Linked DNA regions of Ovis aries. The protein of the gene in region 1 binds, or shares a complex with, the protein of each later gene. Links are inferred from orthologs where the notes say so. Each region holds a gene or a part of one and is shown on either strand. Other genes may lie near its edges.

Region 1 (3,500 bases):
GGGGTGGCTGTGTGCTGGTGAGTCTCGTTGACGTTAGGCATTTCGTGCAGAGTAGTATTTTGACGGTGCTTAGGGAGCCGCAGTGGCAGTGCTCCTGCCAGAATCACTTGCTGTCACTCAGGCCTGAATCTGCCTCGTGTGGGGCACCCTCAGAGCTCGATCTGCTGCCATGGACTGGCCAGCCTGTGGCTGAGTTGGTGGAAGCATGTTCCAGTCGGCACAGCCTGCCTGTCAGGCAGGAGTGTGAGCCTGACTTTCTCTGGGCTTGGGGGTCTGTTCCAGGGTGACCTCGTCTCCTGCAGGGTAGCCCCCCAGCAGAGCAGCAGTGACAGGCAGACCCTCCTGTAGTACCGCGTTAGCCTCTTAGTCCTGAAACCTTATCCCTGCCCAGCGTTGCACTGAGTTCTGAAGTATAGAGCAGGGTGCGCCACTGCTTGCCCCAGAGGCAGCGGGTCCTGCCCCACTCGGGGGGCCCTGTGCTCAGTCTGCTCCTCCCCTCTGCCGCTCAGGGGCCATCCAGGTGGTGGTCGCTTCTCGGAGTCTCTGCTGGGGCATGAACGTGGCCGCCCACCTGGTGATCATCATGGACACCCAGTACTACAACGGCAAGATCCACGCGTGAGTCCAGTGTGCTGTGCGTTCACGGGCCCCTCTCTCCTAAGATGAGTGTAACCTCTGCAGATCCGGAAGGCCACTGTTGTGAAGAAAAGGTGTTAGGGAAATAAATAGCTAGCTGAGATTCCACCCCAGCCAGGGTTTTATTTGTGCAGACTTATTTCTGATGCTTGAAGCTGCTCCTAGGTTTGGATTTGAGTGGGGTGGGCTTGATCACTCATGAACCATATGGCTGTGAGGTCTGGGAGCCTGCCTGACATACGAAATGCTTTAACATGGAGTCATCTGGCTATCGCCGTTAGATGGGTTGGCTTCCCAGGTGGCGCAGTGGAGAACCCACCTGCCAATGCAGGAGACGCAGGTTCCATCCCGGGTCGGGAAGATCCCCTGGAAGAGGACATGTTGGCCCTCTCCAGTGTTCTTGCCTGGAAAATGTCATGGACAGAGGGGCCTGGCGGGCTGTAGTCCATGGGGTTGCAAGGAGGTGGACGTGAGGGAACAGACACACACACACATTAGATGGATTAACACCTTTGGTTCACAGACCCTGAGCAACAAAGTCCTGACTCTTAACACTTGAAAACTAAACTGGTCTGTAGATAACCTGTGACACTAGGGCCTGAGCACACTCACAGAGGTTTGCTGGGATTCTCCATGTCTCCCTGTATCTGCATTTTATTCTTCGACTTTCAGGGAGGCAGTGTCCTGAGTCCTCTTCTCCCTCTGTCTCCAGGTACGTAGATTACCCCATCTACGACGTTCTGCAGATGGTGGGCCACGCCAACCGCCCTCTGCAGGATGACGAGGGCCGCTGCGTCATCATGTGCCAGGGCTCCAAGAAGGTCAGCCCCGGCCTCTGGCGCGGGCTTCCGAGCCTGGGCCTCGGAACAGATTCTTTAATCTCTCTCTCCATAGGCGTCTTTACTTACTTCCTCATGTTCTCTCTGTCTTCTTTTCTTTCCACATTGCCTTTGTAACAAGCCTTTCCCTGTGTAGAATTTTGTAGCCTTTGATTTTTGTTGCTGCTGTTGACTCTGTGTATTGAGATCTTAACCCTCTGGCTGGGTCTGTCTTCCTCATGCCTTGCTCAGCCCTTGGGGCTCAGTGTACCTTCCTCCGTGGTAGAAATAACCAGTGATGCCGGGGGAACCGGCATACACACCCAGCTCTCCAGGTCCAGACCCAGCTCACCTTGTCTGTGCAGCTGGTCTCTTCCGTTTCGTACGAGCCGTGCCTGTTGCACGGCGGCCGTATTTGCCCTTGGCCTTTCTCTGACCGTACTGTCATTGACTGTGTGCTGTACCGTCATTGACATTTTTTCCCGTAGGATTTCTTCAAGAAGTTCTTGTATGAGCCTTTGCCGGTGGAGTCTCACCTGGACCACTGTATGCATGACCACTTCAATGCCGAGATCGTCACCAAGACCATTGAGAACAAGCAGGATGCTGTGGACTACCTCACCTGGACCTTCCTGTACCGCCGCATGACGCAGAACCCCAATTACTACAACCTGCAGGGTCGGTGGCGGCACTGCACGCATCATCCTCTGGTGGTTGGCACAGCCCTCATTCACCGTCTCCTCGGGACACCCCTGCTTACCTGTCACCTTCACAGGCATCTCCCATCGTCACCTGTCTGACCACTTGTCGGAGCTCGTGGAGCAGACCCTGAGTGACCTGGAGCAGTCCAAGTGCATCAGCGTCGAGGACGAGATGGATGTGGCGCCCCTGAACCTGGGCATGATCGCCGCCTACTATTACATCAATTACACCACCATCGGTGAGGGCCGGCAGGGCCTGCAGCCACGGGGACGACATGACGAGGCTTTCAGGGCCTCGTGTGCTTGTCAGAGGGACGCATTGCAGGGTGGAGCCGGGCTAGCCCAGCAGTTAACTCTGCTCCTCCTCTGCCTGCTTTGACTCCTCCAAATGTCCTTTCTTTCCTCTCTCAGAGCTCTTCAGTATGTCCCTGAACGCCAAGACCAAGGTGCGAGGGCTCATCGAGATCATCTCCAACGCGGCCGAGTATGAGAACATCCCCATCCGGCACCACGAGGACAACCTCCTGCGGCAGGTGAGCGCGTCTTGGCTTCTGGAGTGCGTCTTCCGAGCCGCGTGAAACTCGGCCCCCATACCCAGAGCACAGGATCCCGCTCTTGGGTCAGGAAAACTCCTACTCCCCTGCCCCGAGCTCCCTCACACACTCCACACACATCTCAACCCCCACCACCCACAGCCGTCGTCTCCTCCTTAGCGTGGAATGGTTGTGGGCCTGGGGCGGGTGGTGCTTTGGCCCTGAGTGCGGGTCTCTTCACCAACCGCTCTTTCTTCTGCTTTCCAGCTGGCCCAGAAGGTCCCCCACAAACTGAATAACCCTAAGTTCAACGACCCGCACGTCAAGACCAACCTGCTTCTGCAGGCTCACCTGTCCCGCATGCAGCTGAGTGCTGAGCTGCAGTCGGATACAGAGGAGATCCTCAGCAAGGTATGGAGGCAGGGCGCCGCGGGCATGGAGGCCTGGGCGGCCCATGCGGCAGCAGTGCCCACGCCTGCTCTTGCTCTCTGGGCCCTCTGCAGGCCATCCGGCTCATCCAGGCCTGTGTGGACGTCCTCTCCAGCAACGGGTGGCTCAGCCCGGCCCTGGCGGCCATGGAGCTGGCCCAGATGGCCACCCAAGCCATGTGGTCCAAGGACTCCTACCTGAAACAGCTGCCGCACTTCACCTCCGAGCACATCAAACGTTGCACAGACAAGGTGAGCTGGGCCTGCATCGCAGTGTTGGGTGGCCAAGTCTGGAGGCCAGGCATCCTGCACTGGGGTTGGTTGTGGGAGGGGAGGTGTCTCGTTTTGGCTTCTCTGAAGGTGTTACCCAAGAAGGCGCCAGGG
Region 2 (3,500 bases), on another chromosome or scaffold:
TCGAGGGGAGAAAAAGAATCAGGGTGACTTCTAGGTTTTTTGCCTGAGGAACAGGGTGGATGGTGGCACTAATTATCCAGCTGGCAGAAAACAGAGGAAAGTGTCTTGGGTGGTTGGGAATCTAGAGTTGCTATCTAAGTGAGAAGTTCTAGTAGGCAGTTACGTATGTGGAAGACATAGGACCAGAAAAGTGAAGCTCCTGATTCTTTTAGTGTGATCAGCAAAGACATGGTGTTTGTGTTAGTTGGATATGCCTGATGCTTGGAGCTGTTTTGTATGAGGGAATGAAAGTTGAGATAAATGTGTGTACCATTTTCTGAACAGGTCCCCAGCCAAAAAGAAAAACAAATCCTCAGGGAGAAGAAGCAAGTCTCCCCGGAGTAAGAGAAGCCGAAGTCCTCACCACTCAGCAATCAAAATAAAGCAGGTAAGTGGACTGAGATGTTTTCGTACTGGCTCCAAACCTAGAGCCTCTCCATCATAGCTAAAGTGGTGTGTGTGTGTTTTCCTGTACCTGCAGTGGGCTTCTCCAAAAACTGGGCTTTTTTTTTTCTTTTTTCTTCTTTCTTTGTTAAACTTTTTATTTTGAGATAATTGTTGATTCACATGCAGTTGTAAAAGGTAATACAAAAGCCACAGTTTGTCCCAATAGTACCATCTTACAGAATTATAGAACAATATCCCAACCAAAATGTTGACATCAGTTCTGTCAAGATACAGAACATTTCCATCACCACAGGATTCCTCAAGTAGTTCTTTTATATCACACCCAGTTCCCGCCTACCCTTACCCCTCCAACTCCTGGCAGCTTCTAGTCACTTCTCCATTTCTGTTATTTTGTTTCCTCAAGAATGCTATGTAAATAGAATCACACAGTATGTAGCCTTTCTGGATTGGCTTTTTCCACTCAGCTAAGTTCTTTTGGAATTCATTTATATTGTTGCTTTTGTCTGTAGTTCCTTCGTTTTTATTGCTGAACTGTAGTCAATGGTATGGATTTAACCATTTGTCCATTAAAGTGTATCTGGGTTGTTAGCAGTTTTTGGCTATTAGACATAAGACTGCTGTGTATACATTTCTGTACAGGTTTTTGTGTGAACATAGGTTTTCGTTTCTCTGGGATAGATGCCCAGGAGTGCAGTTTGTAGATGGTATGGTAGGTGCTTTTTTTTTTTTTTTCCTAAAACATTAATAAATTGTTTTCCAGAGTGCTGTGTTAGTTTGCCAGGTCTTCCATAACAAAATACCACAGACTGGTTGCCTTAAACAACGGAATCTAAGAGGCTAGAAGTCAGAGATCAAAGTTTCAGCGGTTTGGTTTCTCCTGAGGCCTTTCTCCTTGGCTTGCCTTCTTTGTTGGGTCCTCATAGTCTTTCCCTCTGTGCTCGCCCATCTCTGACTCACATCTTCTTTAACCACATCAGCCATATTGGATTAGGGGCTTACTCATTTTAACTCAATCAGTTCTTCAAAGACCTTACCTGCAAAAAATCTGGTTACAGTCTGAGGTGTGGGGGTTGAGACTTCAGTATGTAAATTTGGAAGGGGCGCAATTCAGTCCTTACAGTGGCTATCCCTTTTTATAATGTGAGTGATCCAGCATTTGGTATTGTGACCATTTTGACCATTCTGATAAGTGATAGTGATACTGTGATTTTAATTTGCATGTCCCTGGTGGCTAATGACGTTGGGCATCTTTTCATGTGTTTATTTGCCATCTGTGTTTCCTCTTAGGTAAAATGTCTCTTCAGATCTTGTGCCTATTTTCTAGTTGGATTGTTTTGGGTTTTTTTACTACTGATTTTTAAGAGGTTTTTTTTTTTTTGGTAATATATTCTTAGATACCAGGCCTTTTTGGAGTGAGAGGTTTTCCAGTATTTTCTTTCCGTCTGTATCTTGTCTGTTCATTTTCTTAAAAGAGTTTTCCTCAGAGCAAAAGTTTTTGATTTGTTTGGAGTCCAGCTTGTCTGTTTTTCCTTTTACAGATTATGCTTTTGGTGTTATGTCTAAGAACTTCCCTGACCCTAGAACCTGAAGATACGTTTTTCTTTAATATTCATTTAAGTCCATGATCTGTTTTGAGTTTGTTTTAATCTAAGGAAGGAGCCTTAAATCAAATTTCCTTTTTCGCCCCGTGGATATCCATTTACTCCAGCACTAGGTGTGGAAAGACAATTTTTCCTCCCTTTAATTGCTTTTGCTTTGTCAGAAATCAAAAGTGTGTGTGTGTGCCTTTATTTCTGGGTCCTCTGTTCTGTGCCATTGATCTGTCATTCTGCCAGTACCACAGTCTTGATTACTGGAGCTATATAATAAGTCTTAAAATTGAACAGACTGGTTCTTTCACTTTCTTCGTTTTAAAAATTGCTGGGACTTCCCTGGTAGGCCAGTGGTTAAGACTCTGAGGCATAGGTTTGGTCCCTGGCTGGGCGGAACTAAGGAGGCACATGCCACAGGACATGGCCAAATAAATAAATAATTGTTTTAGGAATTCTCGTGCCTTTATCTTTCCACATACATTTTAGAACAATCTTGTTTGTATCTATTGAAAAAACTTGCTAGTATTTTGATTGAAATTGTGTTAAACTTGTACTTTTTGAAAAATTTTAAAAAATTATGTAGCGTCTTCCAGTCTTTGAATATAGGTGTATCTCTGTTTATTTAGATCTTTGATTTCTTTTATCAGTGTTTCAGTGTACAAGTCCTGTATGTGTTTTGCTAGATTTGCACTTAAGTAATTTTTTTAAGTTATCATTAAATGATGGCTCTAGTCCATGGGGTCGCTAAGAGTCGGACACAACTGAGCAACTTCACTTTCACTTTCATGCATTGGAGAAGGCAATGGCAACCCACTCCAGTGTTCTTGCCTGGAGAATCCCAGGGACGAGGGAGCCTGGTGGGCTGCCATCTATGGGGTTGCACAGAGTCAGACACGACTGAAGTGACTTAGCAGCAGCAGCAAGTGATATTTTGAATTTCAGTATTTACTTGTTCATGGCTAGTACATAGAAATATGATCCATTTTTGTATGTTTATCTTACACCCTGTGGCCTTACTGAACTCATTTATTTGGCCTAAGTAAATCCCAACCTAAAACTTGGGATTTTCTGCATAGATAGTCACGTCTGCACAGGGGCAGTTCTGTCTGTCTTCCTTTCCAGTGCATGTTCATTTTATTGCCCCTTGCTGCATGGCTGGGACTCTCGCACTGAGTGGAGCAAGAGCAGTCAGATCAGGCTCTCCTGCCCTGTCCTCATTCCTGAGGGACAGGCGTTCAGTCATCGTCTTGTGCTCTTTCCTCCAAGTTTTATTTAATTTTTGACAGTGCTGGGTCTTTGTTGCTGTTGTGGACTGGAGAATCCCAGGGACGCGGGAGCCTGGCGGGCTGCCGTCTGTGGGGTCGCGCAGAGTCGGACACAACTGAAGCGGCTCAGCAGCAGCAGCAGTGGACTTTCTCTAGATGCAGTGAGCAGAGGCGACACTCTTGTTGTGGTATGCAG
Region 3 (4,030 bases), on another chromosome or scaffold:
GGATCTGCTCTTTGGAACAAGATCCAGGAGGGTCAAGTCTTTCTACAAACAAGGAATCAGGTACATAAGCAAGGGTTTTATACACAGCAGTGTCCTGCCAAGGGCCGGCTGTCTCAATGCCTTTTTCTTTGGTACTCAACAACCTTGAGGGAAACAGGTGGACAAGAAAGGGAACGTTATAGATAGGTTATTCCTAAGCTTTGCAAAGGCACCCGGTTTTTACGAAGGACCCAGCTTCATTTTCATGGAGTTAAACAAGTGTGAAGCAGCTGGTGAGGTGGGGAAACCATATAATTTTGGATGGTGAATGGCATGAAGAAAATCAGTAATCTATCCAAAAGAGTGACAGAGGGCTACTTTAGATTGGGTGCAATGTTCCTGACTAATGACCTGAGATGAGACTTGACCTACAAGACCACTCCGCACCCTCATGAAGATTTAGAAGAATATTAAAGTCAGTTAACAGGCCCTAAATAGAATCCGAGTCTCCGTGACCTAGAGGAACAGGCTAGAGTCCCAGGTAGGTGGCCAGATAATGTAATGTAGGTCTTTTATGTAGCAACTGGATTTTATTCTAAATAAGGGAATCCGGGAGTGATTTATAAGCAGATTCATTTAAAAGCTCTAGCTGCTCTGCAGTAAGTGACTTGGAGATGATGAAAGCGGAAGCTTGTGGGAGAACTGGAATTAAAGTCTAGTGCCTGACTTCATGAAAGTGCTGAATATACTGAACAAGCCTTATATGCCAGGCTGTTCAAAGCGCTGAGGATAAACACGGTTTTTGCTTCCGGGCCTCCAGACTAGTGAAAAGGGGTAAGAGGCCGCACATATGATGGTTCAGACGGTCTTGGCTGCAAAGGCTGATCAGACCCTGAAGACTGCCTAGTCCAAGCCCCGTAGCCTGAGCGAGAATCATCCGTACTGCACTTACTGTATCCAAGTGAATGAGAGGCCCGTGGGCCTCGAGCGAAAAAAAAGCCGAGGATGTCCTCCGGCCTCAGCGCTCAAGGAGACTCAGGTGAGGTAACAACTTGCGACTCGTCAAAACGGAAGGAAGCCCCGGCCACCCACGCAGCGCGCAGCTTGGCATCGAAGGCAGAGAGCTTCCGGGGGCGGGGCCGACCGCCTCCCACCGCACCGCCCCCCCCCCCGGCTCTTCCTGCGCCTGCGCCGGAAATAAACACCTCCCGGCGGAGCAAGATCATAGGATCGCCGGAACCCCGCGCTCCCGACTTCTGCTTCCGGGTCAGAGGCATGGCGGTGGCAAATTCAAGCCCTGTCAATCCCGTGGTATTCTTTGATGTCAGCATTGGCGGCCAGGTGAGGTCTTGGCAGCCAGCCAGCCCGATGCCAAAGGGAACGTGCACGCGGTCTGGCAGGCAGATCACCTCCTCAGGTGTAGCAAACTCGGGAAGCCAAAAAGTGAAATTGAACCAGAACCTACCGACCTGCGGGGCGGGGGTGAGGGAGTAGGAAGAGGAGGAGTCTTGCGCATCCTAGCGCCCGGCTGGTGGAGGGACCGGGTGGAACGGAAGAGTAGGCTACGGAGGCGGAGGTGGGAGAGACCAAGCGGCATGGGGGCCCGAGGGTTCCCTGTTCGGTGAGGCCTTCACGGGCTTGGACTGGGCTTTCTGAACGTCTCTCGCCGGTTGCAGGAGGTTGGTCGTATGAAGATTGAGCTCTTTGCAGACGTTGTGCCTAAGACGGCGGAGAATTTTAGGTAAGATGATGTTCTTTGCTGGATAAACCAAACGAGAAGCTGGGCCTGTCTGTGGAATCTTCTGCCTACCTCTATCCGTTCATTCACCGTCCTTGAGATCTGACTTCTCTGGGTATCTCTCTGAATAGTCTTGACCGTCCCCTTTTCAGTTTATGTTAATCTGTATGCCTGGACGTCTGACCAGCCAGTTGGTGGGCTAGCTAGCGCCGACGTTCCCCTTCCCGCTGAGGTTAGGGACGCTCAGAGTTGTGATGCCATGGCGACTGAATCGTTCACTCTTTTCCTTTTCAGGCAGTTCTGCACAGGAGAATTCAGGTCAGTCTCTGACGTGGTTGACTTCTCTGCTTGCTCCTGAGGGCTGTCCTGAGGCTGCAGTTGAGGGTATTGGGGAATCACCGGCAGGCCTTGTATGACTGGTGACAGTAATAGAAGGTATTACTATGGGTCTGTCCTCAGTTCATTTGCCTTCTTCGTCTCTCTTCTCCCGACCATCTTTAGAAGGGTGTCTCTGGCTCGACTGTATGGTAAACGTGAAAGGCCTATGTTTACCTGTTTACCATTTCAAGTCTCTTTCTTTTTGCTTATAGAAAAGATGGGGTTCCGATAGGATACAAGGGGAGCACCTTCCACAGGTAAGGCCTTTGGCAAGCCATCCTGGGGGACTTTTAAAATTACTATTAGTATGGTTTAGAATTACTTCCTTGGGGGATTAGTCTCTTCAGAGGAAAACAAAACCATAGCATAATTCTTAGTTCTTGAGAAGGGATGCTTTTGTGAACTCAACCATTGATTTGAGGACTGAAGTGATAAACATTATATTTTGAAATTAATGTTATTCCAAACCACACAATCTTCTCCCAGCATCCTTTGTTCTCTGTTTCAGGGTCATAAAAGATTTCATGATTCAGGGTGGAGATTTTGTTAATGTAAGTACTGTTCCTTTCCTATTAAGGGCCTATAAGTTTTGTTTTTGTTGGTTGTTGTTATTGAAGCTGCTCCTCGGGGAACTGAGAACAGTAGCCAAGTTTGCTGGGGGAGGAGGTGGGAATGGGAATATCCTGTGATGGCTGCTACTCGCTGCATCACTAGATAACATATTAGCACTTTGATTGAGTCACTCACTCCAAATCTCAGTCTTTTAGGGCTGGGAACTGACTTTCCCAGCATACCTATAGGTGATCCATGACAGACCCAAATTAACTGGGCACATGGAATTTAGCTAGAAATCAGTTACAGTTAACTTTCTCTAAATGGGGGCAAGTCCCTTTCCAGTGAGTTAAATGCTTATGCCCTGATTTCCCATTCACTTCTGGTATCCCAGTGCCTCGGAAGGTGAGTTGTTATTTTTTTAATCAAGTTCATTAGTGGGCAAGAAATCAGAGAGTTCTGGAAGGATATTTTCCCTATTCACTAGGAGAACCCATTGAATTAATCCTTCATTGCTAAGCATGATTTTTCTTGCCACTGTATGCATCCCCATTTCAAGCTTCCCAACCTTGCAGGGTTCTGAATAAACCACATTTATGCTTTCTTAAACCTACGTTTGTCCATACCCACCCATTTCTGTGCATGATCTTTCTTATTAATATCATTTGGTTAGTCATGTTGCTGTTTTCTTGGATCTGGGAGACATTCTTTATCCTTTACATGTATATTTAGTTTGACTGTTAGGAGTTTTTTTAAGATTTCTATCTTTCCTACCCAGATAAGTTTACAAAGTGGCAGATTTGGGGCTGAATCCGAAACAGATATGCTTTGTATCATCTGTATGATGTTGTAAAACTGGGAAATTTTCCGGAAAGTTCTGGAGTTTTGTTTTCTCTGTTACAACTGAAAAGTAGGGGTGCACTTGGCCTGTGTTTCTCATGTAGCAACATTTGGTTGAGTCAAGTAACAGCTCCCTTTAGACAGGTATGTCCTTATTATTTCACCACAGTTCCCACCACTGGCTTCCCTTCTTTACGTCACATACTCCTATAGGCATTTAAGTTTGCAACCCCTGGCCACGACTGATTAGAGTAGGGCTTGGGGTGACCATATCCTTTTTTATTGGCAAGTAAGAAGGGCTAAGATGCTATTCTCTGTGTTCTTTCTTCCAAAGGCTTCTATACTGCTATATTGTCTTAGCAGGGATAGGACTAACTTCTTATGGGTCATTGCTAGGCACATGTGATCACTTGCTAATTGCTCTAGAGTTAGCAGTTAGTCAGCCAGAAGGCTGTCAGGGAGAAGAAATTACTCAGAGCCACCCTTAGGGCAGAAAAAATAGAATGAGCAAGACGTAGAAGCAGAATTTGAGACCTTCTAAAG
Region 4 (4,222 bases), on another chromosome or scaffold:
TGCGACTCCATGGACTGCAGCACACCAGGTTTCCCTGGCCATCTCCCAGCTCTCTGGAGCTTGCCCTAACTCATGTCCATTGAGTAGGTAATGCCATCCAACCATCTCATCCTCTGTCATCCCCTTCTCCTGCGTTCAATCTTTCTCAGCATCAGGGGCTTTTCCAAAGCCTTAGGAGGGGGCAAGTAATGGAGGATGTGATGGCCCATCAGATTCCAGAATCCACACTTGGCTGATCCTGGGATTCCTCTAGAGAGGGTCCAGAGCAGTTCCTGACCAGTGTGGGGTAGAGCCCACTTCTGTCCTGTCCCTAGATCTTTACTGCTCCATCCAGACAGGAGCAGAGAAGCCCCCTGGCCACATTGGGCTGAGATAGACTTCCCCAGGTCGAATCAGCTCTCCTTAAAATGTGAAGGTTCTGGTGAGGGGCCTGGGGACACTACCCTGCAAGAAGCAGCCAGGGTCCCCAAGCCCCAGGTGTGTGCATAGGGCTGGGGCTGATCACAGCCACCTGAGCCCACCAGGTGGGGGCTGCTCCCAGTGGGGCTGTGGCAAGCTGGAGTGTGGCAGTCACTGTCCTTGCGCAAGGCCCTTGCCCTCCAGAAATTCACAGCCTAAGCCGCTTCCACCCCCACATTTTGAAACACGCTGGAGTCCAAGAGGGCCACCTTCCTCCCTGGTGCTCTGTCACCTGACCCCTTCCTGAGAAACTGAGAAAGGACTAGATAGGAGGGCTTCAGCATTCTGGGCTCCCCACAACCCAGAAAGCCACCAAAGTAGTATTTCTGGGGTCCGATGGTGCTGCCCCGGGTGCGCCCCGCCACCTGGCAGGCTCAGCTCGGGACTGGGGAGCAGAGGATACCAGGCGCGCTGACTTGTTTTCATCTTGGCCTCGCCTCGGGCATACAGGGTCACAGTTCCCCCACCAGGGATCCAAGCGTGTCCCCTCCACTGGGAGCAGAGTCTTAAGCACCGAACCACCAGGGAAGTCCTCACTGGGCTTTTGGGAAGAGCCGACCAGAAGGTAGTGTCAGAAGAGCCACAGAGGGGACACAAGGAGCAGGCGCTCGCGTTTCCACGGCGTCCCTGGATGGTGGAGGGGCGGGGACTGCGGCCCATCGCCAAGCGCGGGTGCATCTGAAGGTGCTTCTACCCCGACAGTCCCCCACACAGGCGACCCCCGGCACCTCTGAGCTCCTACGGGCCCTTGGGGCTCGCCTCAACACAACCGCAGGCTTCAGTCACCACTTCCATCAAGAGGCGGATCGCCGCCTGCGAGAGACAAAACGCTGGAAGCGGGCCCACGCTCAGCGACGGCCCCGCCCATCGCCCCTCGCCTCGTCGCCCCGCCCCTTTGGCCCTTTGGGCGTGGCCAAGTGCCGCTTCCCCCGGAAGTCCGGAACCAAGCCGAACGTCCCGCCCAGCTGGGACGGGCCTTCCTCACGCGGCGCGAGAGTGGGTCCTTGTCTCCTGGTCCCCGACTTAGGTGTTCAGTCCCAACTCCTACGAGGTTCTGAGTCCCCACCGCGTCTCCCACAGCCCAGTCTCAGCTGCAAGCTGCTGGAGAATTCGTTTCCCCTCCCCGGCCCCGCGAAGCCAGGTGGGGTCCTAGCCCCGCGCCCCAGCCTCAACCTTCCACACTCTCCCGCCCGCTCCCCGGGGCCCCTCGCCGCCCGCCCATGGCCCAGAAGCCGAAGGTAGACCCCCACGTCGGTCGGCTGGGGTATCTGCAGGCGCTGGTCACGGAATTCCAGGAGACGCAGAGCCAAGGTGAGTGTCTCGGGGTGGGGGGCAGGGGGGGCTGGGCCGGGGTCCAGCCGCGACCACCGCCCCGACCCTGGCGCCACTGCCCGCTTCTCCATCGCAGACGCCAAGGAGCAAGTGTTGGCCAACCTCGCCAACTTCGCCTATGACCCCGGTAACTACCAGTATCTGCGGCAGCTGCAGGTCTTGGATTTATTCCTCGATTCGCTGTCGGAGGAGAATGAGACCCTGGTGGAGTTTGCTATTGGTAAGGATGGGGCGCTCTCCTAGGTGCCTGATGAGGTAACGAGTTAGAAATGAGTTGTTGGGAAAGGGCTCTTCGGCCGTCTCTCAGCAGCGAAGGCAGACTTTCGTAGTGTCTGTAATGCCTCCGCGGCCAACACAGCGTACAGGTTCACGGGTGGCTTGAGTCTGGCCTGGAACCCACGCCCAGGACCATTTCTACCTGTCTACCTTCCCTGTCGGTTAGAGGTAAGATCATAAATGGGAATGGATTGAAGCCCCTTGGAGGGGCGGGGTGGGGGCGGGGGAGTTGAGCGCTCTTTTAAAACCTCTTTATCTTATATGTTTCACCATCAAGAGAAATAGCGTTCACTCGGAAGGGCTTATGGCACCTGTAGTTGTTCTGGTCTCAGACCTATTGATTTATTCACACGTCAGGTGTTTGTTGGGCTGGTACCCTGTGAGCAAAGTATTGTTCTAAATGCTGGTGAGATGGCCAACAAGTTGGGAAAAGATCTTTGCCCTCAGGGAATTTACATTCTAGTAGAGAGAGACACAAGGTTTACACACAAAAGAAGCTGAGGCACTGAAGAAAACAGGCTGATGAAGAAGAGCAAGGGAAGGAAGGGACTACTTCTGGTTTGGCCCTGGCGGGAAGGCACAGGCCGGGCCAAGACCCCAGAGCAGGAGGAGCCAGAAGGAAGGCTGATGTGGCACCATTGTGGTGAGTGAAGCCCAGAGTGGTACTAAATGAGAGAGAAGGATTTAGTGCTGCTAAATTAGAGAGCACCTCGCACCAGTTTACAGGGATTCAGATCTAGGCATTGGGTGGGAGTTTGGAGTTTATTCTGAGGGCAAACCAACATTCCTGGAACTTCCCTAGTGGTCCAACAACTAGGACTTTGCTTTTCCACTGTAGGGGCGATGGGTTCCATCCCTGGTTAGGGAACTGCTGCTGTTGCTAAGTTATTTCAGTCGTGTCTGACTCTGTGCAACCCCATAGACGGCAGCCCACCAGGCTCCGCCGTCTCTGGGATTCTCCAGGCAAGAACACTGGAGTGGGTTGCCAGTTCCTTCTCCAGTGCATGAAAGTGAAAAGGGAAAGTGAAGTCGCTCAGTCGTGTCTGACTCTTAGCAACCCCATGGACTGCAGCCTACCAGGCTCCTCCGTCCATGGGATTTTTCAGGTAAGAGTACTAGAGTGGGTTGCCATTGCCTTCTCTGGTTAGGGAACTGAGATCCTGCAAAAAGCAAACAAAACCAACATTCTTTCTGCAGCATGTGTCTTTAAAAAATAACATTTCTCTGCATAGTGAAAGGAGTCTTATCTTCATAGGGAATGAACTTAATAATTCCATTGTCACCAAATACCCAGTTAGGCAGACTTCTCTAATAGTTCCCAAGCGGACATTTTTTGTTGTTCTGTATAAACCAGGATCCATGCTCTTAATCTGGTTGTTATGTACGTTAGATCTCAATCTCTCGCTCTCTTTTGAAAGAAACTTTGTATTTTATAACAGTAGAAAAATTGCGAAGGTAATACAGAGTTTCTATGTATACACACCGAGTTTCCTTATTATTACCATCTTACATTAGTATGGTACACTTGTTACAATTAATAAGCCAATAGCAATAGTCCTGTCTAACTCTTTGCAACCGCATGGGCTGTAGCCTGCCAGACTCCTCTGTCCATGGGATTTCCCAGACGAGAATATTGGAGTGGGTTGCCATTTCCTTCTCCAGGGGATCTTCCTGACCCAGGGATAGAACCTGCGTCTCCTACACTGGCAGACAGATTCTTTACCACTGAGCCACCTGGGTACCCCTGTTATTAACTGAAGTCCATGCTTTGTTCTGATTTCGTCACTTTTTCCCTCATAACCTTTTACTGTCTCAGGATTCCATCCAAGATCTTATGTTAGATTTAGGCTCCTTTGGGCTTTGCTGGTTTTAGACTTTTTCTTTTTGTGAATGACCTTGGCAGTTTTAAGGAGTACTGGTCAGGTATTTTGTAGGTTTTCCTTCAGTTGGGATTTGCCTGACATTTTTCTCGTTATTAGACTGGGATATGGGTATTGGGGAGGATGACCACAGAGGTAAATGGTAAAAGGCCATGACATATCTCCTCCAACTGAAGCTATTTTGGGAGGTAGAGGGGGGTGCTTCCCACGTGGGATCTTAGTTCCCTGACCAAGGATCGAACCTATGCCCCCTGCAGTGGCAGTGTGGAGTGTTA
Region 5 (2,458 bases), on another chromosome or scaffold:
GGAGCGGAACCTGAGTGCCGGGTTGCGGTTGGGTGTGGTCAGGCTGGGAAGTGACTGGGCTTGGGGTGGAGGGCTTGTCAGGGCTCTGCCTAGGGCAGGGGGTATGTGGGGCCAGAGGTTCCTGTGTGCTCTTGCTGGCCCAGCTGCTTCCTCAGTGCCAATACCTCCTCTCCGGCTGCTGTGGGGCTGAGGGTGCTGCGTGTGGGGCTTCCCACGAACTTCTGAGGCCCCACCTGGGTCCCCGGGGCTCCTTCCCTCTCGCCTGTGCTTCCACCTCCTGCTCCACTCCGATAGGGCCGCCATAAAACCTCGTAAAAGGCTTTGTAAAGTAAACAGGTCCCTCCTTGCTGTTCCCAGGCTGGTGCTCTGTGTGCTGCTATCTGGGTTTGTGCTCTTTAAATCACACTTTATCTGACACTGAGCAATTAAGAATACCACAAGGCTTAAAAAACAATCAAGCTATCAGGCATGAAATTACTCCCTTTTGTAGCTGAGACCAGCCAAGGCAGCTGCCTGGAGGTGCCTAGTGCACATCTGCTCTGGAACTTGACTGCAGAGCTGGTGGAGCTGGCTGTCAGCGTGCCCATCATGCCCTCACTGGCACGTGGGGAAGGCTCCCAGGACCCTGACTCGGTTTCTGATGCTGTGGATCTTCTCCTGGGCCTGGATTCAGGGGTCTGTGTCTGCTTTTAGACCAGGTTTTCAGTGTGGGCTTCAGCTCCTTCTGGAGATGCCTGGTAGGACAGAATGTTCCAGAAGGTGAAGAAGAGGAGCAGGCAGAAACTTCTCTTTCCCTAATCACAGCCTTGATTGAATTTTTTGTCCGATCAGTTACTTTCATCTCCCTATGTTTTACTCAGAGGAAGATAATAATTTCTTGCTCTGTGGGTGGTTTTCTGAGAAATGCCTTAGGTGGACACTTGAAGGAAGGAGCGTTTCAGGTAATGACCTGGAGGGGTTTCTGGGTGGCCAGGCCTCATCCGTTGGCACCCCAATGGAGCCTGAGCTCTCCAGGGAGAGGTCAAGACCAGCAGTCCCTGTGCCTGACTCTGTGCCACTGCAGCGGGTCCCCAGGCTTGAGGTCTAGCCCACCGTGGAGCCAGCTATGACCTGAGCAGGCCAGGGTTGCCCCCAGTGTGGCTCCCGCAGCCCCGGAGCACCACCAGCGCTGATCTGTGGCCACCTGGTCCCCTCCTGCTGCTTCTGAATAGGCTATTCTGGAGCGAGCGGAAGATCACCAAGGCCCGGGAGTGGTTCCACCGCACTGTGAAGATTGATTCGGATCTGGGGGATGCCTGGGCCTTCTTCTACAAGTTTGAGCTGCAGCACGGCACAGAGGTGAGGTGCCTGCTGCCCATGACTCCCACCCCACCAGTCTCAAACGAAGTGCTGGCGGGTGACACAGCTTCCATGGCTGCTTTCTGCCTGTAGCCTTGGAGTCTCAGCCTGAAATTTAGATGCTCGGGGGCATCTTTTAACAAGTTGGTTGTGATGGGCTGTGGCAGAAACAGGGCTGGAGCTGGAGGCCTGAGGGTTGTCTTTGTGTCATAGCCATCCTGTCCTGCTGGACAGAGACTTCCCAGAGCCCAGCGCCCTCGGGGTCTCCCCTGCCACCCCCACCCCGATGTGGAAGGTGGGTCCTCTTTAGGGGGCAGGTGCGGACACTGGTATGAAGGCTGGTAGAGTGCAGTGGGAGTGGGTTGGTTCAAGCACCTGCGATCCCCACCCAGGAGCAGCGGGAGGAGGTGAGGAGGCGCTGCGAGAACGCCGAGCCCCGGCACGGGGAGCTGTGGTGTGCCACGTCCAAGGACATCGCCAACTGGCAACGGAAGATCGGGGAGATCCTGGTGCTGGTTGCAGCGCGCATCAAGAACACCTTCTGAGTGTCCTGCGCAGGGGTGGGGGTAGGGTGGGGGTGGTGGCTGTCCTGGTTGTTGATTAAAGGTTTTCTAGTAGTCGTGGGGTTTGTGGCAGCGGGTTTTCTCCAAATCCTACCCTCATGTGCTTTGACCGTCCCAGTCTGGCCCTCACACTGGATAGGGCTAGCTCTCCAGACCTCCTAAGAGCCTATGCCCTGCAGAGGAAGCACCAGCAGAGCTGGGCAACTCTCCAAGGCTTTTTGGAGATGGAGGCAGGAACTTGTGTTCTGGGTAAAAGCTCTGTGTGGAAACAGTGAAGGCCCAGCTGGCCAGGTGACTCCGGTGCCTGCATGTACAGGTCTTCTCCTGCCCTGTCTATGCCTCCTGTCCCCCAGCGGCAGGCTGTGTGCATCCCAGGAGAGTGACTTTCCTGAGTGCTCTTGGGCCTGGCCCCTGAGGTTCTACCACAGGATGGCGAAGAGGCCCTCGGCATGTGAGAGGGGGAGTTCATTTTTGCTAATTTGTAGTTAGTGATTTTTACCCTAAAGCTCTTGGACCCATTCTCTGGATGAAAATGCACTGCTTACCTGGAGACTTGA
Region 6 (4,231 bases), on another chromosome or scaffold:
TAAACAATTGTATCTCCGTTTTCAGAGTATAAGACCTCCTTTATTCTTCATCAATAGTGCTGAATGTTAATTTGGTTTCTGTAATGGAAAGCAAGATATTGACTTAAAGCTTATTTTCTTGAATTTTAAACTCTATCAGGTAGCAACAATACCTTGAATTTGGTTCCTATTCACATTATGGTATGGTGAAAATGAAACAAGAATAGATATAGGAAAACAAATTTTTTTGGCATTACTTTGTCTTGCCAAAGAATGATGTGACGATTGACTAAGATCCCTGAAGTTAAAAGAGCACTTTTTGCTTTACATATTAAATTCCACGTGCTTTGTACATAATGCTTGCTAGTTGTCTTTCTCCCCCATTTATCCTTTAGCTCCTATAAGGGCAGAAGACGTTGTAGTTCTGTTCTTTACGCTGGTTATACTGAGCAAAATGCCAATGTTCAACTAAAGTATTTGTTCGATGAATGAATGATTGGTGCTTTGCAGCCATTGTGTGAATGAATGATGTCCTTCCTGGCCTTTCCTGCTTAAACTCTTTAGCTTTAAGCTCCTCAGATATAAACATAAAATAGACCAACGCAAAAAATTTGTTCGCTTTTTCTTTTCAAAACAGATGCGTAAAAGCAGCAAGGCTTCCTAAATGTGATGTTATTAACATAGAATGACATCTGGTGGTTGCCTGTTGGACTGTGGAAGAAATAGTGTATACAAAATGTATAGCAGACTCCTAGATATTACAAGATTAAAAAGGACAGTTCAGTTCTGTCACTGTTTTGTCCGACTCTTTGCGACCCCATGGACTGCAGCACACCAGGCTTCCCTGTCCATCACCAACTCCTGATAGTAGAAGATAGAAAACAATAGAAATGGAAAAAATTGAAAAAGTAGAATAGAAAAATAGAAAAAGAAAACGATAGTAGAAAATAGAAAACATACTTAAAATTTCCCCCTCGCCCAACAAACTTTATTAAAAATGCTAGTTGTGGGTTTTCAAATCATCAAACTTTTAAAAGAAGCGGTAGATTTTTTTTTTTAACGAAAATTGCAACACAATGAATCGGTGGCGGGAAAATCAAATTTATTGATTCTGGTCGAAGAAAGATCCTGGGTTGATATGAGACACACCTCGATAAGGGGAAATAAGACAGCACAAAGGCTTCCGTTTCGCAGGCTTCCGGATTAGAGAAATAACTTATTTATAAGACCGGAGATCTCTAAAGTCTCTTGGAAGTTTGGAGAGGCGAGTTATCTGTGGAGAACCTAGAACGCTCAGTGAACAGAAACACTTTCTAGAATCTCCCTGCAGGATAAAGAAGTGGCTGGATCTCCTCAATCGCACTCTCGGCCTCAGATTGGTCGAGCCTGCCTGGGCCGGAAAAAAGCGGAAGCGCGCTCTTTCAAACTCGCCGTTCCGACGTCGATAGAGGCAGGCCACTTCCGGCGTAGCCATGGCGGCTAACGCTACCACTAACCCGTCGCAGCTGCTTCCTCTAGGTAATCTTTGTCCTGTTGGGGAGCCGGGGCGGGGAGTTGAAAGTTAGGGTTGGGGCCGAAGAGCAAGGCAGTCCCTGACCGAGTGTTAGAAAAACGTAGCTTTCTCTGCAGCTCTCCTTTAGGCTCCAAGTCTCGGCGGCCTGAGGCCGCACAAGTCTCTCTGGCGTGGGGGAGTCTTCTTGAGGCAGGGGTTTTTGACTCCCCAAACCTTCACCGGAAAGGTTCAGTCTTGGTGAATGTGTCGTTGACCTTCTTTGTTGGGTGCTCGCCTTTATAATAGTAAGAGGCCCATTCCGCAACCGGGCTTTTAAACTACCCGGGTTATATCCTGTCTGGCTGGTTTCTGAGTGAGGCACTTGGGTCTGGAATGAGCCTTTAAAGAGGCCTCTGAAAACTAGCTCTTGTTACTCATTTATTCAGCAAGCAGTTACCGCGCCATCTGTGCACTAGACACTGTGATTGGGCACTGTTCAACAAATTTAAATCACGGCCATTACCTTCAGATAGCATACAAACCAGTGTAGGAAACAGGATACAGGGCAGACATAGACTTAATGACAAGGAGGAATCTCTGGTGAAGACAGTTCTGCCTTTTTTTTCCCCTTAATATTTTATATTTGAAGGGTTATCGGGTTAGTGGATGTGGCAGTTATTGTAAAGGTTTTTTTCCATCCTGGAACAAATTCTTCTGAATGACCAGTACATTTCAGGCATTGTCCACTGGGGATACACTGATGAGTAAAAACCACCTCTCAGCTCTCTTTCAGCTTAGAGTCAAGAGGGGCGTTCATATGTTAATCAGATAACTAAAATAGTATTAAACTACAACCATGATAAATTGCTACAAAGGAGGGTTAAATGAATAACAGGGAGGGAAAACTGTCCTTTTAATAGAATGACTGAACAGAGATATGTAACATAAGGTCTAAAGTTTTGGAGTGAATACTTTTCCTGGCTTATCTTTTCACCATATGCATGTAACAAGTGTCAGTAGGCATTCAAATATTTGTTAATGTTATGAATGGGCAAACTAATCTTCTCTCTCCCGCCCTTATCTGCAGAGCTTGTGGACAAGTGTATAGGATCAAGAATTCACATTGTGATGAAGAGTGATAAAGAGATTGTTGGCACACTTCTGGGATTTGATGACTTTGTCAGTATCCTTTTAAAAGGTGGTTGTATGGATTTTTCTTCAGATTTTTAAAAAAGAACTATAGACTATCAGTACTTACCGATTATTATAATAAAGTTTAATTTATTTTTTTGGAAATTGTGATAGTGTTTTAAGGGATTGTGGTACTGAAAGATGAAGTTCCTACCAATTGCACGCAGCTTGCATTTGAGCCATTGTATTCAATGTTATAATTAAAACTGAACAAAGAAATAAGCCAGAGTAAATTTAATTTGGTATGTTTATTTTCTTAACACCAAATTTCAGATATGGTATTGGAAGATGTCACTGAATTGTGAGTAGTGTTAAAAATTAAAGAATGGGTAGGGGGAATCTCTGTTTGATTTAAGGCAGTTTTAGTGCTGTTGAGTCAGTAAAAGGATGTAGGAGAGCACACTGCCTGTTTGAATTACTCTAAAGAGAGAAAGTTTACCTACTGATGTTAGTAAAATTGGATTGGAGGATTATTACCATAATTTAATTGTCACTAATTGCTAGGAAGTTAGTGGAGACAAAGGTTTAAGGTAAAAGATACTAAAAGCAGCCAGGGATCTTAGCGCTCAGATCAAATAAAGGAACTTATAATAAAAACATTTAATGTTTTAAATTAGTTACTCTAAAACTTATGTGTATATATATATATATAAACATTTTATTTCATATTTGATCTCCTTGGTAAGTTTCAGTTTTTTAGATGAAGATCTGCACTAGTGGATGTGGGTCTTAGGCCAGTCAGTCCACTCTCTTGCCTTTGGAGAATTGACATCACCATGGGGATAACCTTGTCTCTGGAAAGTGTACAGTTCATTTATATATAGTAACTAACCTTTTGGTGGATCAGAATGTTGGCTTTGATTATCACTCTTTATCCTGACTTTTTGAAAATCTTTTTGTTTAGTGAAATCACACCAGAAGGAAGAAGAATTACTAAATTAGATCAAATTTTGCTAAATGGAAATAATATAACAATGGTAAGACAGTGAAGGTCTTTTATTTAGATGTTAAGCCATCTTTGTGGGGCAGGGATTACAGAACTGACTTGATTGACTCAATGTTCTTGGCCCAGTGGTGCTTAGGGTGGGAAGGGAATGCTCTGCTGATCAGGATTCTGTGGCCAAACTGTTGAAGATGACATTAGGCCTAAGATTAGTTTGTTTATACCTTTTATCTTATGTATTTTTAAAATATTTATTTATTTTTTTATTTGGCTGCATTGGGTCTTAGTTGCATCACAGAAGATCTTTACTTAGTTGCAACATGTGGGATCCAGTTCCTTGACCAAGGATCAAACCTGGGCCCGCTGCATTGGGAGCATGGAGTCTTAATCATTGCACCACCAGTGAAGTCCCTGCTTGTGCTTTTTAATCATTTATTTTACCAAGAATTAACTGTTGAAACATTAAATCACTAAGTATTAATTGATACTGTTGGAATTGTAAACAGAGGTGACATGGGGAAAATGGGAATATGAGGGAGAGGCAAAGGCTGATCAATGACCAGTCAGTGAGCTCTCAGTAGGGGTTTTTAGATCATGTGGTACTAAGTTTTAAACTTTTTCCTCCT
Region 7 (4,084 bases), on another chromosome or scaffold:
CGGTGGCTCAGCTGGTGAAGACTCCGCCTGCAATGCAGGAGACCTGGGTTCAATCCCTGGGTTGGGAAGATACCCTGGAGATGGGAAGGGCTACCCATCCCAGTATTCTGGTCTGGAGAATTCCATGGACTGTATAGTCCACAGTGTCAGACTTTATTTTTTGGGGCTCCAAAATCACTGCAGATGGTGACTGCAGCCATGAAATTAAAAGACGCTTACTCCTTGGAAGAAAAGTTATGACCAACCTAGATAGCATATTCAAAAGCAGAGACATTACCTTGCCGACTAAGGTCCGTCTAGTCAAGGCTATGGTTTTTCCTGTGGTCATGTATGGATGTGAGAGTTGGACTGTGAGGAAGGCTGAGTGCTGAAGAATTGATGCTTTTGAACTGTGGTGTTGGAGAAGACTCTTGGGAGTCCCTTGGACTGCAAGGAGATCAGCCCTGGGATTTCTTTGGAAGGAATGATGCTAAAGCTGCAACTCCAGTACTCTGGCCACCTCATGCGAAGAGTTGACTCATTGGAAAAGACTCTGATGCTGGGAGAGATTGGGGGCAGGAGGAGAAGGGGACGACCGAGGATGAGATGGCTGGATGGCATCAGTGACTCGATGGACGTGAGTCTGAGTGCACTCCGGGAGATGGTGATGGACAGGGAGGCCTGGCGTGCTGCGATTCATGGGGTCGCAAAGAGTCGGACACGACTGAGCGACTGAACTGAATAGTCCACAGGGTCGCAAAGTCGGACACGACTGGGAGACTTTCACTTTCGGAGCAGAAATGACCAGTCACGATCGGCAGGCGAGGCCGGGGCGCCTCCCTCAGGAGGCTTGCCACGCGGCGGCCTGCCCGAGTCGTCCAGTGGGCGGGACAAATGTACACCGCGGGACACGCCCCGCGGCCCGGTTCCAGGGACCCGAAAGAGCAGGGACGGCTGCTCCGGAACAGCACCGGAAGTGCCTGGGAACCGCGCGGGATGCGTTGACGCACTTCCGGTTCTCGCAGCTTCCGGCAAAGTGGGCTACAGTACCAGGAACGAGGCTCTGGCCGTTAGCCCTGGAGCATTCTGGGAGTCGCAGCCCTGCCTCCTCACCCAGACTCCCTTCCTGAGTCAATTCCGGTCTCTTCGCGAAGGAGCGCCACGGTTTCCTGTAGGGAAGGCAGCGCATGCGCAAAGTCATCACTCCCGATAGGCCTCAGGCGTGGGAGCCAGGGGCCTTGTGGGAGATGTAGTTCTTCAGGCGCGGGAGAAGCGGCCATCGGCCAGCGGGGGACTCGGTTTCCCACGAGGCTGAGCGCGGCTCAAGATGGAGGCAGCCAGGCCGAAGTGAGCCGGTAGGTTTTTGGTGGGAGGGCCGCGCTGCTGACCCGTCCGGCTTCAGCGGGCCACTGTCCGTAGTCTGCTGCCCCAACCAGGGAGACCCTCGTGAGGCCCGCACCCTTGGCCCGCCCCCGCCCGACTTGGCCGCAGGACTCAGGCAGCTGACAACGAGCGCCTGCTGGGCACGCGCCGAGATTCTGGGCGCGTGGAGTGGAGAAAATCAAGGCTCTGCCTCCTAGGGGAGAGAGACAACCCTCAAGGAAGCCAGCGCTCCCTGGGACCTGGCCAGCCCCGACCCCGGCCCTGAGAAAACCGCGCCTCCGTCAGCCTGGACTCGGCTCTGCCCTCCAGTGAGCTCAGGAAGTTCTCAGAGAACTCAAGAGACGCAGACCTGGCATGCTCGATCTTGGGGCGCGATTCCTGGCTCCCCTCGGAGTGTCCCACTGATCACGGGCGTCCAGGGGACGGGAGTGCAAATTTAGGAAGCCGGAGGCTGGTCGAAGCTCCAGCTTTGCCTCCAGTGTACGGAATGACGGGCCAATTATCTCCCCACTCCTGTCCTGCCAGCCCTAAAACAGACACCGTTGGCGTTTACTTCGTGTCCCCTTTCCTGGAGTTGTTCCTGCATTTGGGGAGTCATGCAAGGCCCAGAGGAATGGAGATCTCGCCTGCGTTTGACCTGGAGCAGGGCACTCGGAGCCACTCCTGGTCCAACTGGCCTGGTCTTTGGTGGGTGCAGGAGCAACAGAGTCACCCTTGGCAAGCAAGGGAGGCCTGGTGGGAAGAGGAAGTTGGTGGAGGCTGAGGCCTGTCCTCTGAGCCTGGAAACAAGTTTCAGGGTGCTTGGTGACACTGGAATGCTAACCAGGTGTTGGCAGGACTTCTGTGCTCCACTGGGAAAGTGAAGGGTGTGTGGAGGATCACAGATGTCGCTGGAGGTTGCCTCAGGAGCTGTGGGGCCGGCCTCTGCCAAGCAAGGCTGAGCCAGCTTCCTGAGAGCCTGACCCTCAGATGTCAAGGACCTGGCTGCAGTCCCTTCTGGAGCTGCCAGGGCATCTCTGCACTCAGGAGCACACCTCCTCCCCACAGAGCCGGCAGGTGCCTCCGGCTTTGTGGAGTACTTCCTGCCTGCCCTGCTCCCAGGCAGCATCCCGCAGCAAGCTCTAAAATTCTTTATTGCAGTTGTTAGCACAGTGAATAAACGTACTCCTCATCCACACAGCAAATGTTTGTGAAGTCTGACTGAGTCAGTTCGAGCTGTTCAGTGAGCCAGTCTGCAGTTCCCGCCATGACTGTCAGCTGTTTTCCGTCCCTCTGAGCACTCACTGACCTGAAAACGTAATAAGCTATCACGTGGAACCACCACAGGACGTGTCAGTTACCACGATTAGACTAGTGACTGATACAGTGTCGATTCTGTAATTTCACTTTTTGAAAAGAGTGATCACCCTTCATGACTCCTTGTAATCCATTAGAAAGTAATTGAATATGCTAGTGTGTGGAAACACTGGCGCTGTGTCAAAACGAAACAGTGACAGTCTTTCTCCGAAGTGAAAAATTACTCAGTTAATGGCCGGAATACCCTCAGTTTCCATTTTGTTTTAATGTTTCACCCCTGCAGCTGCTAGCCAGTGTGAGGAGGGTGATGCCTGCTTTAGCACAAAATTACATGCTCTGCATGTCACTCATTCATTCCTTATTTACCGGAGAAGGCAAGGGCACCCCACTCCAGTACTCGTGCCTGGAAAATCCCATGGACGGAGGAGCCTGCTGCTGCTGCTGCTGCTGCTGCTAAGTCGCTTCAGTCGTGTCCGACTCTGTGCGACCCCATAGACGGCAGCCCACCAGGCTCCTCCGTCCATGGGATTCTCCAGGCAAGAGTACTGGAGTGTGGTGCCCTTGCCTTCTCCGGACAGAGGAGCCTGGCAGGCTACAATCCAAAAGGCCACAAAGAGTCGGATGCAACTGAGCTGAGCGTACTGCCTGCCACTACCACACGTGGCCGACAGAGGGAGCGCGAGGATTGCTGGTGACCCTGGGTTGACACCCCGGCCGGCTGCTCTACCAGACCACCCCGTGCGGGTCCCCTAGTGGCTCTAGTCAACCCTGCCTGGCGAGGACTGAGGGAGGTGACAAGTCAAAAGGACCAGCTCCTGGGCCTGGCTGTTTTGGGGGCTTTGTAAACCCAGGCCCACTCCGGGGATGTTGGCACCACTTCCATTTGTCCGCCATCTGGTCTGATGGCTGGCTGTCCCTCCCTGCCCTTAGCCAGTCACCGAGCCGCTGAGCAGAGCCGTACCAGGGGGCCTTTGCCACCAAGAACCTTCGTCAGCATTCAACCCACCTGCCCTCCAGCATCCAGCAGGCGCCCATCAGACGGGGAGGTAAGAGGAGGGCTTATGGTCGGTGTGGCGGGGGTGGGGATGGGGGCTGGCCCTTCCTCCTGGGACACTGCTCTTCCTGCTGATCCTGCCTGGGGTGGTGGGTGTGAGCTTGTGTCCGGGGACTCCCGGGGCTGTTTTGGTGCAGGTGTGGCGTGGTCTGGGGACACATGGCAGAGGCAGGGGACAGCCGACACTTCCCTGACTCGGAGGCCGACACCCTGCCTCCGGACACTGGCTCCCTCAGCGACTCGGACTCTGACCTTAGTTTGCCTGATGGCGCTGGGGCGGCTGCCCTGTCCCTGGGGGGGCTGCCTGGGGAGGTGTCCGGGGATTCGGGCCCCGATGAGCCCCCCTCGCCCCCCAGAGGCCTCCTCACAGAG

Evidence for each region.
Region 2: SNRNP200 (region 1) and SNIP1 share a complex: the UniProt entries of both Homo sapiens proteins name them as parts of the minor spliceosome. The link is inferred for Ovis aries from reciprocal best matches to the Homo sapiens genes SNRNP200 and SNIP1.
Region 3: SNRNP200 (region 1) and PPIH share a complex: the UniProt entries of both Homo sapiens proteins name them as parts of the U4/U6-U5 tri-snRNP complex. The link is inferred for Ovis aries from reciprocal best matches to the Homo sapiens genes SNRNP200 and PPIH.
Region 4: SNRNP200 (region 1) and ARMC7 share a complex: the UniProt entries of both Homo sapiens proteins name them as parts of the minor spliceosome. The link is inferred for Ovis aries from reciprocal best matches to the Homo sapiens genes SNRNP200 and ARMC7.
Region 5: SNRNP200 (region 1) and PRPF6 share a complex: the UniProt entries of both Homo sapiens proteins name them as parts of the U4/U6-U5 tri-snRNP complex. The link is inferred for Ovis aries from reciprocal best matches to the Homo sapiens genes SNRNP200 and PRPF6.
Region 6: SNRNP200 (region 1) and LSM5 share a complex: the UniProt entries of both Homo sapiens proteins name them as parts of the U4/U6-U5 tri-snRNP complex. The link is inferred for Ovis aries from reciprocal best matches to the Homo sapiens genes SNRNP200 and LSM5.
Region 7: the proteins of SNRNP200 (region 1) and TSSC4 are in contact, whole or in part, in a cryo-EM structure (PDB 7PX3), measured with the Homo sapiens proteins. The link is inferred for Ovis aries from reciprocal best matches to the Homo sapiens genes SNRNP200 and TSSC4. Residues at the interface, in NP_054733.2 of Homo sapiens: Arg1438, Arg1475, His1502, Lys1748, Gln1749, Val1752, Asp1753, Thr1756, Trp1757, Tyr1761, Arg1762, His1778, Leu1781, Ser1782, Asp1783, Leu1785, Ser1786, Glu1787, Val1789, Glu1790, Gln1791, Glu1807, Met1808, Asn1814, Met1817, Ile1818, Tyr1821, Tyr1822, Asp1928, Ser1931; in NP_001284587.1 of Homo sapiens: Val198, Ser199, Ser200, Phe201, Asn202, Gln203, Asp204, Pro205, Gly211, Arg212, Val213, Ile214, Phe215, Thr216, Lys217, Pro218, Arg220, Gly253, Pro254, Val255, Glu256, Leu257, Ala258, His259, Leu260, Ala261, Gly262, Gly303, Phe304, His305.

What each region holds. Positions count from the first base shown.
Region 1 is NC_056056.1:104,085,737-104,089,236, forward strand, and holds part of SNRNP200 (U5 small nuclear ribonucleoprotein 200 kDa helicase), read left to right. Parts: intron 1-509; coding exon 510-618; intron 619-1,348; coding exon 1,349-1,457; intron 1,458-1,942; coding exon 1,943-2,132; intron 2,133-2,229; coding exon 2,230-2,394; intron 2,395-2,566; coding exon 2,567-2,688; intron 2,689-2,955; coding exon 2,956-3,099; intron 3,100-3,191; coding exon 3,192-3,368; intron 3,369-3,500. UniProt on the Homo sapiens protein: Catalyzes the ATP-dependent unwinding of U4/U6 RNA duplices, an essential step in the assembly of a catalytically active spliceosome. Plays a role in pre-mRNA splicing as a core component of precatalytic, catalytic and postcatalytic spliceosomal complexes.
Region 2 is NC_056054.1:12,368,528-12,372,027, reverse strand, and holds part of SNIP1 (smad nuclear-interacting protein 1), read left to right. Parts: intron 1-324; coding exon 325-427; intron 428-3,500. UniProt on the Homo sapiens protein: Required for pre-mRNA splicing as component of the spliceosome. As a component of the minor spliceosome, involved in the splicing of U12-type introns in pre-mRNAs. Down-regulates NF-kappa-B signaling by competing with RELA for CREBBP/EP300 binding.
Region 3 is NC_056054.1:17,161,434-17,165,463, forward strand, and holds the start of PPIH (peptidyl-prolyl cis-trans isomerase H), read left to right. Parts: upstream 1-1,230; 5' UTR 1,231-1,254; coding exon 1,255-1,320; exon of another isoform or gene 1,321-1,655; coding exon 1,656-1,720; intron 1,721-2,011; coding exon 2,012-2,035; exon of another isoform or gene 2,036-2,129; coding exon of another isoform or gene 2,130-2,152; intron 2,153-2,307; coding exon 2,308-2,352; intron 2,353-2,603; coding exon 2,604-2,646; intron 2,647-4,030. UniProt on the Homo sapiens protein: PPIase that catalyzes the cis-trans isomerization of proline imidic peptide bonds in oligopeptides and may therefore assist protein folding. Participates in pre-mRNA splicing.
Region 4 is NC_056064.1:55,673,427-55,677,648, reverse strand, and holds the start of ARMC7 (armadillo repeat-containing protein 7), read left to right. Parts: upstream 1-1,422; 5' UTR 1,423-1,679; coding exon 1,680-1,770; intron 1,771-1,867; coding exon 1,868-2,011; coding exon of another isoform or gene 2,012-2,024; intron 2,025-4,222. UniProt on the Homo sapiens protein: As a component of the minor spliceosome, involved in the splicing of U12-type introns in pre-mRNAs.
Region 5 is NC_056066.1:53,535,199-53,537,656, reverse strand, and holds the end of PRPF6 (pre-mRNA-processing factor 6), read left to right. Parts: intron 1-1,211; coding exon 1,212-1,338; intron 1,339-1,730; coding exon 1,731-1,883; 3' UTR 1,884-1,958; downstream 1,959-2,458. UniProt on the Homo sapiens protein: Involved in pre-mRNA splicing as component of the U4/U6-U5 tri-snRNP complex, one of the building blocks of the spliceosome.
Region 6 is NC_056057.1:65,578,978-65,583,208, forward strand, and holds the start of LSM5 (U6 snRNA-associated Sm-like protein LSm5), read left to right. Parts: upstream 1-1,431; 5' UTR 1,432-1,451; coding exon 1,452-1,497; intron 1,498-2,558; coding exon 2,559-2,654; intron 2,655-2,935; coding exon 2,936-2,963; intron 2,964-3,566; coding exon 3,567-3,639; intron 3,640-4,231. UniProt on the Homo sapiens protein: Plays a role in pre-mRNA splicing as component of the U4/U6-U5 tri-snRNP complex that is involved in spliceosome assembly, and as component of the precatalytic spliceosome (spliceosome B complex).
Region 7 is NC_056074.1:45,569,345-45,573,428, reverse strand, and holds the start of TSSC4 (U5 small nuclear ribonucleoprotein TSSC4), read left to right. Parts: upstream 1-1,284; 5' UTR 1,285-2,049; intron 2,050-3,588; 5' UTR 3,589-3,704; intron 3,705-3,849; 5' UTR 3,850-3,871; coding exon 3,872-4,084. UniProt on the Homo sapiens protein: Protein associated with the U5 snRNP, during its maturation and its post-splicing recycling and which is required for spliceosomal tri-snRNP complex assembly in the nucleus.